Linked DNA regions of Tamandua tetradactyla. The protein of the gene in region 2 purifies or fractionates together with the protein of the main gene of each other region. This does not show direct contact. Links are inferred from orthologs where the notes say so. Each region holds a gene or a part of one and is shown on either strand. Other genes may lie near its edges.

Region 1 (3,909 bases), on a different chromosome or scaffold from region 2:
AGACACTGTCTCAGTGGTTATTGGGGCTGGCTGTCTTCTAACAACACTGCATTGTCCTCGGGTCCTTGGTGTCTACCACACTGTCCCTTCACCTACCTTGCTGGCTAAATTTCCTGGCTCCAGCTCCTGTTTCTTCTAACTTCCCTGGTCTCTGAGGCCCCTCAACCACCCAAATTGTTCACATACCCCTTGATATCATATAGTACTCTATCCTCTGGCCCAATTCTCTCCAAGACTCTAGATCTACCCAGGTTCACGCTCCTCCCAAATTTATCTCTGTGAGCCTGGCCTTTTCACTAAATGACACACACACACCTCCCTCTTCCTGAGCATTTTACTCACGCAGCTTTCTGGCCTTGTCCCTGGGTTTGCCTTAATTGATTTTTTTCCCCTTTCTATCTCTCTTCTCTTGCCATCACACTCTGGCATCTCTCACCCTCCATTTCCAAGAAATTGGATCTGCTCTCCAGCTATTCTAACATCCCTTCCCTACTTCTGGATCTCTTTTCTCCTGCAGACTGCATGCTTCTGCTTCAAGGTCCTTTTCTATCATCTGGTGACAGACGGGCGATTCCCCCCCTCTACCCTGGGATGTGGACTCTTCTGGGCTGTCCTACCCCGTCTCCCTGTGGTCCCCTCCCACCACCCTCTGCATCTCGGTTCCGCGACAGCGGCTCCGCACCTTTCGGTCGATGCGGACAGTGAAGACGTGTCCATCGCGCAAAGGTTCCCGGCTCAACACGAGCCCGTGGTTAAACTCCTGGCCCGGCTGCTGCCGCCGCGCTGTACGCCCACAGGCCGAAAGGCTCACCAAGCGCCCGGTGCGCGGGTGCAGCTCCCCACCGCTGCCGAGACCCGCGCCGGACCCCGATCCCGGGCCGCTCTCGCTGGGCCCCCCGCCCCCGCCCCCGCTCGGCCCTGGACCTCCCCCAGAGCCCCCACTCCCACCGGACCCCGCCGCCATCGCCGCTGACACCGGGGCCGCGCGACAGCCGCGCTTGGCGGCACCGTGGCAACCGCGAGGGACAGGCACCCTGAGGAAATAGGAACGTGGGCGGGGACCAGAAATGCTTTACGGCACCCCCAGGCAATGAGGCTTCCCGGGCTAAGGACCTGACTACCACGATAGGAACAGAAGGACGTCGGGGTCGGGTTGTTTGCTTTACGGCACGGTGAGGTAACGGAGTGGCTCTTGAGACAGGCGAACACTTGGGCAGGGAGCTTTTGCGACAGTGGAAAGAGGAAACGACTGCCCCAGGCAACCTTACGACAGAGGGGTGCTGGCGCCTCAACGCTCGCAGTTTTGCGGCAGCGGCCCGGACGATCCCGCCCTCCATAGAAGGAAGGATGTATTCGCTTTACGGCAAGAGGAGGAGGTTTTTCCGTTTCGCTCTTCAAAGCGATTTGAGCCACGGTTGGATGGCCCGGCGAAGAGAACCGGCAGTTTTGTAAGTGAAAGTCGGCCCTCCGCACCACCGATACCGGAAATGTCTTGCGACAGTAGCGCCACACTTCTCGTGAGAGACAGAGGGAGCCGATTTTGGGGGAGAAAGGAAAAAAAAGCTGCGGAGGTTTCCATTCAAGCCCTGCTTGAGCCCCAATTTAACCAAACTCTTCGATTTTAAAGCTACGAATAAAGAGTCCAAAGAAACTATGGCAGTTTCGAGCAACGGCGTGAACAGTCCTAAAAGATCCCCCAGGCATGTTAAGTCCCAGCTCAACTCTCCCACGCTCGCGTTAATGATGGAGGGCTGTGACGTCACAATCCACGCTTCTCGGCCCACACCCCCACACCCCAGGACCCTGGTTATGATTGGCCGATTCAGAGGAGGGCCGTGATGGGAGAGAAGGGCGGGAACAAATCCTGGAGACAAAGAAAGAAGATCTTTGGGTGGGACCAAAAGGGAGGGGCGAGTAGGGGGACTTGTAGCCTGACGTCCTTATACCCGGTCTCCCGCCCACCGCAGCAGTGAGACAACCCTAGCCGCTGCCCAACCGCCCCCGCCCCACCCCGTTATGGGGCGGGGCCTCGGGGGCGGGGCCATGTGGGGGAGGGAGGCAAGGCGGGGCCGGGTGGATAACAGTGGCCCCCGGAGGTGGGGCCATGCCGAAGGAGACTCTGGGGGCCGCTGGCGGCCTCAAAGGGGAATCTCCCGGAGGAACAACCCAGGAGGTTCCCGGAGGAATCAGAAGGGCCGAGGCAGGCGCCGGGCTGTCCTCGGGAACAGTCCTGTTTCACGGCTCTGCGCCTTCCCAGCACTCCGGGAGTGTCGTAACTCATAGTCCTGGTACCAGCCAGCCCTCTGGGGGAGTCGCGGTCCTCGGCTCGGGACCCAGCCAGCCCCCTGGAGAGGTTGCGGGTCATGGCCCTGGGTCTGTCATATACCCTGCCGTAATCAACACCCACTGCCCTGGAACCAGCTTAACCCGGGCGTCTAGCCCCTGGTCCGGGGGGTCTGAAGAGTACATAGAGGGGTGTAGTCCGCACTCCGGGCCAATTTGCTCTCCCTCCCGCAACACAATAACACGTGAAGACCGGCCCCGGAGCATCCTCAAAAACAACAGCTGTGTCTTGATGCAGAAATGCCCCAATGTGGAAAAGTAAGGGGCCCAGCCCTGCGGGAGAGCGGCCGAGAGCTCCGGGGGAGGAGTTCGGGACTCCGGAGAGGGCGGGGCCTGGGGAATGGGAGGAGTCCCGAGAGGAAGAGACATTGGGAGGGAAATTTGAGGTTGGGGCCTTGGGGAAACCCGCAGGGGCCCGATTAACCGTGGATACACAGTACCCAAGTAATCACTACGTCTGACTCCACTCCCAGCCGCTTATATTTCTGTCCATACCGCCCCTGGACCTACAAGGGGGCGCAAAAAAGCTTTCTGAAAGAATGAGGAAGGGCTGTAGGAGAGGATCATTAGAATGTTTCCTCCTCGAACTGCCCCCCCCCGCCCCCCAGGAAAAAGGCCCAGCGCTGGGATGAGATGAATATCTTGGCCACTTACCACCCTGCTGGCAAAGACTACGGACTTATGAAGGTGGACGAGCCCAGCACTCCCTACCACAGGTGCTGAGCCCTCAACTCTACCCCTTCCACCCAGACTCTCCTCACTATGCCAGGGGGTTGGGAAGGGAGGAGAAGGCCAAGAAGCCTCAAGTACTGGTTGCTACTTGGACTCCCCCTCCCTGCATAGCTCCCCTGTCCACAGGCTGCAGGACAGCAACGAGGACCTGGCCACAGGCTCCTCCTACGCAGTGACTCCCCAGGCACTGGCAGAGAGGTGAGAGTCCTGTCAGAGATCATGTGAGGCAGGGGGACCTCCACCCCTTGACTCTGGGGTCTGAGCCAGCTCTACTCTTTGGACCCCAACATGGGTATTGCTACAGTTCTCATCAGGACTGGCCAAGATCCACCTAGGTTGAGGGGCAGCTGGCTCAGCCCCCTCCCCACCTACCCTCTTGTTACTCACTTCCCTTCAGTACCCCCAACTAGTCTTTCTCTTCAGGTTTGCAACAGTGGACAATTTCCACCCCAAGGTCCTCCAGAACCGTGAGAACAGATATTCAGGGTCTCTAGACAACTTTACCAAGACACGTGAGATGAGGGGTGGGGATTAAATGAGAAGGGGAGGCGGAGTCAACCTACCAGAGAACCTGGGAGGGAAAAGCCAAGCTCTCACACTGGCCCACAGACTCCAGTGATTTTGACCAGCACCGCAAGGCACACTATGATGAAGGGAATTTCCTCAGGACTCAGAAAACCTTGCCGTTGGGTAATGACGATCGCTACCACGGGGGTAGTGTCACTGCCAGCAATGGAGGTCGAGGTGTGATGCCAGACCCCGAACCCAAGCCTGTGGAGAGAGGCAGTAAAAGAGGATCAGCCAGAGGAGGCAAAGATGAGACTGGCCTAGAGG
Region 2 (3,909 bases):
CTTTACCTAAGAGCAAAGGTCAAGAAAGTAAACAATCTCCCTAGAGGGGGCAGACATGTAACCAGAGACGTAAACGGTATAGATTGTATCTGAGTCTTAAACACTAATCTTAGTAAAACATCAGGTCCTACGTCCTTTAAAGATTATACTAGGGAGACGCTAATGTCCTCATACTATATGGAATGTCGTTGTCTAAACTCAAACACGCATTGCCATCCCCCACCCCCGCACTCCTATTCCTAGCCAGGCACTATCACTCTGGACCGGCTGCCACTGGAGAATCTTTTCTGTTCATAAGTGCCAATAAATCTGTATCTACTTCTGTGCCAGGCATGTTTTTCGGTCTCACAGCAGCACCAGCTCATGCTTTGCCTGAACTGGGTCTGGGTGGGAACAGTGTTTAAAGATCTATTAATTCTATCATTGTGGTAAATGACCCAATTGTACATCAATAGAGTACTGGTTGGATAAATTGTGCAGTAGATATGTAATCCATACAATACATAAAAAGAGTGAATTAGATCTATATTGTTGATATGGGAAAGATGCCCATAAATCATTGAGGAATGAAAAAAGCTATCCTAACAACAGAAACGTAGTAAGATTCCAATTTTTAATTAATAAAATAGGCTCAAAGGTCACATCATCAGAGACCTTCCCTAATTCCCATAGCTAATCACTCTTTATCCCCTTACTCTAAATTATTTATCCTTAGAATATTCATAAGCTCATTGGAAATAGCCTTCTTGGGCTTGTTCATTGTCTGACGAAAGCACCATGTGTACAAGGATTTTATTTGTTTAGTGTCCTAGTCCCTGCTCTTACAACATTTTAGGTCTCAAATAAGTATTAATTGAAATAAATATTAATGGGAGACGGAGAAACACGTATGTATATGCAAATTTATATGTTTTAAAGAATCTGGAATTAAAGAATAATCTCTCCATAGTCTGACATTAAACGTAGGTGCAGCTAAAATATCCCAAAATAATATTTGTATAACCCTTTTCCAGGTAAAATCATATAGTCTCATCTGATCCTTTTGGCATCCCTGTGAAATGCATAAAAATAAAAATAATTAACACGTTTACACTTTACGGTTCGCTAAAGTCATTCTTTTTTGATGCTCACATTCCTGTTTAATTCTTTCCTTCCTATTTTACTCTGCAGGGTCTTCCAGTTTTCTGAAAACTGAATACTCTTTCATTCTTTTTTGTCTTTGTATAGAAATAGAGTACTCCTTCCAGAATGTTCTTCCCTGCCTTACCTACCCAATATATGTGTACTCATCCCTCAAAACCCTGTTCAGGCCCAGAAGAGGGCCTCACTTATCTTCCTCAAATCAAAGGACCCACGCAAGAGGGGCTTCCGCACCGCGCACCGACCCCCGCCCACCCTGTCTACACTTGGAATCTGCCGTCTGGCTCCGCCCAGGTCCCTGCCGCCGGATCAGAAGGCCCCGCCCCTCCTGAGAAGTTTCCCAAGACCCCGCGCGGCTGTCCGGAGCTGCGCTAAGATGGCGACTCCCATGCATCGGCTCATAGCCCGGAGACAGGCGTAAGTGAGGGCCCGAATTCCGCGACAGGGCGGGCTGGGGGCGGGGAGACTCGCGTCAACCGGCCGGTGAGCGGGCGCTGAGTTTGGAGGCCGGACTTGGATCCCCAGTGGGGAGCGGGGGAGTGTAGTCGTTTCTGTATAGGGCGCCTGCCCCCAGAGAGCTCCGGCCAGTTGGTTTGGTTCCCGTGGGCTGGCGATTTCCGAGGACGTAAGGTACGCGGTGCTGGACACAGTGTTGAGGAGAGCCGCGGTGTTTGGTTCCCTCTAAGGGAACGCTTAGCAGTTGGTCACTAAGTGGTGTCTTGACCGTCACCCTCCGCTCACCCCGTCGCCCACCCCACGCGCGCCCAGATGAGGCCTGAATCCCTGTTCGCACAGTCCACTCCCACCTGGTAAACCTTCAACCCTCCTGAATAGCTTCCAATCTAGCTGGCTTTTCCCACGCTTTCCCAAAGAGGAAGCAGCCTGTTTACAACGCCAACTCTTCCCCCAATTTCTGCCAGAGATTCTGTCCTCCCATGAGTGTTAATTTATTCAGGACCTACCGCTCTCTATCAGAATCTGGGTATAAAGAAAAGGCGGTGTTCAAGACAGAATCCCTGCTTTCACAAAGTTTACATCCTAGTGGTGGAAATATTGGTAAACTAAACAAATTAGTAAACACAGTTGGTGAAAAGTGTTTTGATGGAAAGGGAGAAAAGACTACTTCGGGTTGGGTGAACTGGAAAGTCATCTCTGAAAAGGTGGTACAAAGTGAGACTGAAAAGGTAAGATAGGAGCCAGTTGTGAAAGATTTGAGAGAAAAATAACCAGACAGTGGCACAGTTGATCTGAAGCTGGAAGTAATTTAGTTTTAAGAACTATGAAAGGCCATTTGGGCTAATGAGCAAGAGTGGCACAAGCTGAGTTTACAGAGGTTTACCGCTTCTTGTGAAGCCTTTCTTCTGCCTACTTGCAGACCCGAACAGTGTCTGCCACTTTTTCACTCTCTCCGCATTTCATGCCTTCACCGTTGGCACACCTATAGTCTCATATAGCTCATAGTCTGCTATACTATATATGCATAAATATGCTTGTATTTGTTTAAATTTATTTCCAGAACCCTGTTCTTTTCTCTCCTCCAACTGAGTCCAGCCCAGGTGCCCAATTAAAGCGAGTTCCTTGAACATAAGGTTATTGGGTGCTGGTGTAGTAAAGTTGGTGGTAAAGGGCTTTGAAGTTAGTTCTGAGGTAAAGAATGAGGTGATAGTAATACTTAATAGGAGTGCTAAGTGATGTCGTCAGGGTCTCATTTCTTCCTCTTTCCCAGGTTTGCTCTTTTGGGTGACCTCACACTTGGATAGACTCTCTCCTTTGGTCTCAAGATGGCTGCATTATCTAGGGTTCATTATACCCTCTCAGCTTCAAGTTGTTTGCATCTCATTGGTCTAGATTGGATTACATGCCAAACCCTGAACCATGTGTAGGAGATTGTGAAGCCCTGATTGACTTAAATAGCATTCTTCTCCCAGCACAATTCAGATGCTCACCATCAAGCAAATTGATGAGCTGGGTGGGTAGATAAAAGGTGGTAAGTGAATGCTGGATTGGCAAAAACAATCAATGTCTACTGTAAGTGTGAGGTGAAAAATAAGACTTTTAGCATCTAAAGAAATTTGCTATTACTTTTTTCGTATGTATCATGAAGTTAGTTTAAACAGATGTTCCATTTCTATAGTGTGCCTGTATTTGGTACATGAGTACACAGAAGTAAAAACAAATCTTTACTTTTAGGAGCTTCTGGTCTTATTGAAGGAAACGTGGTATATGATAAAAGATGTCATGGTATACAGACTGTACGTTCCTCAGGGATTCAGACCCGTTCATCTATCCCTGAAAAAAAAACAAAGAAAAAAAAGAAAAAAATTCAACAAATGGTGCTGCAATAACCAGAAACTCACACAGAAAAAGAATGACATGTGAGCCCCAGCATACCAAAAAAAACAACTAGTGGAGTCCAGGAGTCTGGAGTGTATGTTTGTGGGGAAAGCAGGAGAGGAGCTTTCCTCTCTTTTACTTCTCGTTTTATATTCATCAAAAGGGTTTAATCATACCTGTAAGGGGTATATATCACTTCCATAATAACAAGTGTAAAACTTTTAAAATTAGTTATAAAAAGTGAGAAAGTATCTGGATTAATAGAGAAAACAGGGAAATAAAAGGGAAAAAAGCAAGCCTAAATTTGCACTCCCCATGCAGTATATCTCAGTCGATCTCCTTTAAATCAATTGGAATGAAATTATTTCCCATCTTATAAATTGTAATATATCTGCCATTATGTAAATAGATTTTCCAGGGGCATTTCTTCTACTA

The links.
Region 1: the proteins of ZCCHC10 (region 2) and NEURL4 purify together in Homo sapiens (co-immunoprecipitation; 3 studies listed by BioGRID and IntAct, with this or other methods). This does not show direct contact. The link is inferred for Tamandua tetradactyla from reciprocal best matches to the Homo sapiens genes ZCCHC10 and NEURL4.

The regions. Positions count from the first base shown.
Region 1 is NC_135332.1:61,193,254-61,197,162, forward strand, and holds the start of NEURL4 (neuralized-like protein 4), read right to left. Parts: upstream 2,611-3,909; 5' UTR 2,602-2,610; coding exon of another isoform or gene 2,105-2,601; 5' UTR 965-2,104; coding exon 683-964; intron 1-682. Other genes in the region: uncharacterized protein LOC143688138, read left to right, coding at 2,105-2,601, 2,952-3,059, 3,187-3,273, 3,499-3,587, 3,685-3,909. UniProt on the Homo sapiens protein: Promotes CCP110 ubiquitination and proteasome-dependent degradation. By counteracting accumulation of CP110, maintains normal centriolar homeostasis and preventing formation of ectopic microtubular organizing centers.
Region 2 is NC_135346.1:11,886,181-11,890,089, reverse strand, and holds the start of ZCCHC10 (zinc finger CCHC domain-containing protein 10), read left to right. Parts: upstream 1-1,452; 5' UTR 1,453-1,516; coding exon 1,517-1,557; intron 1,558-3,909.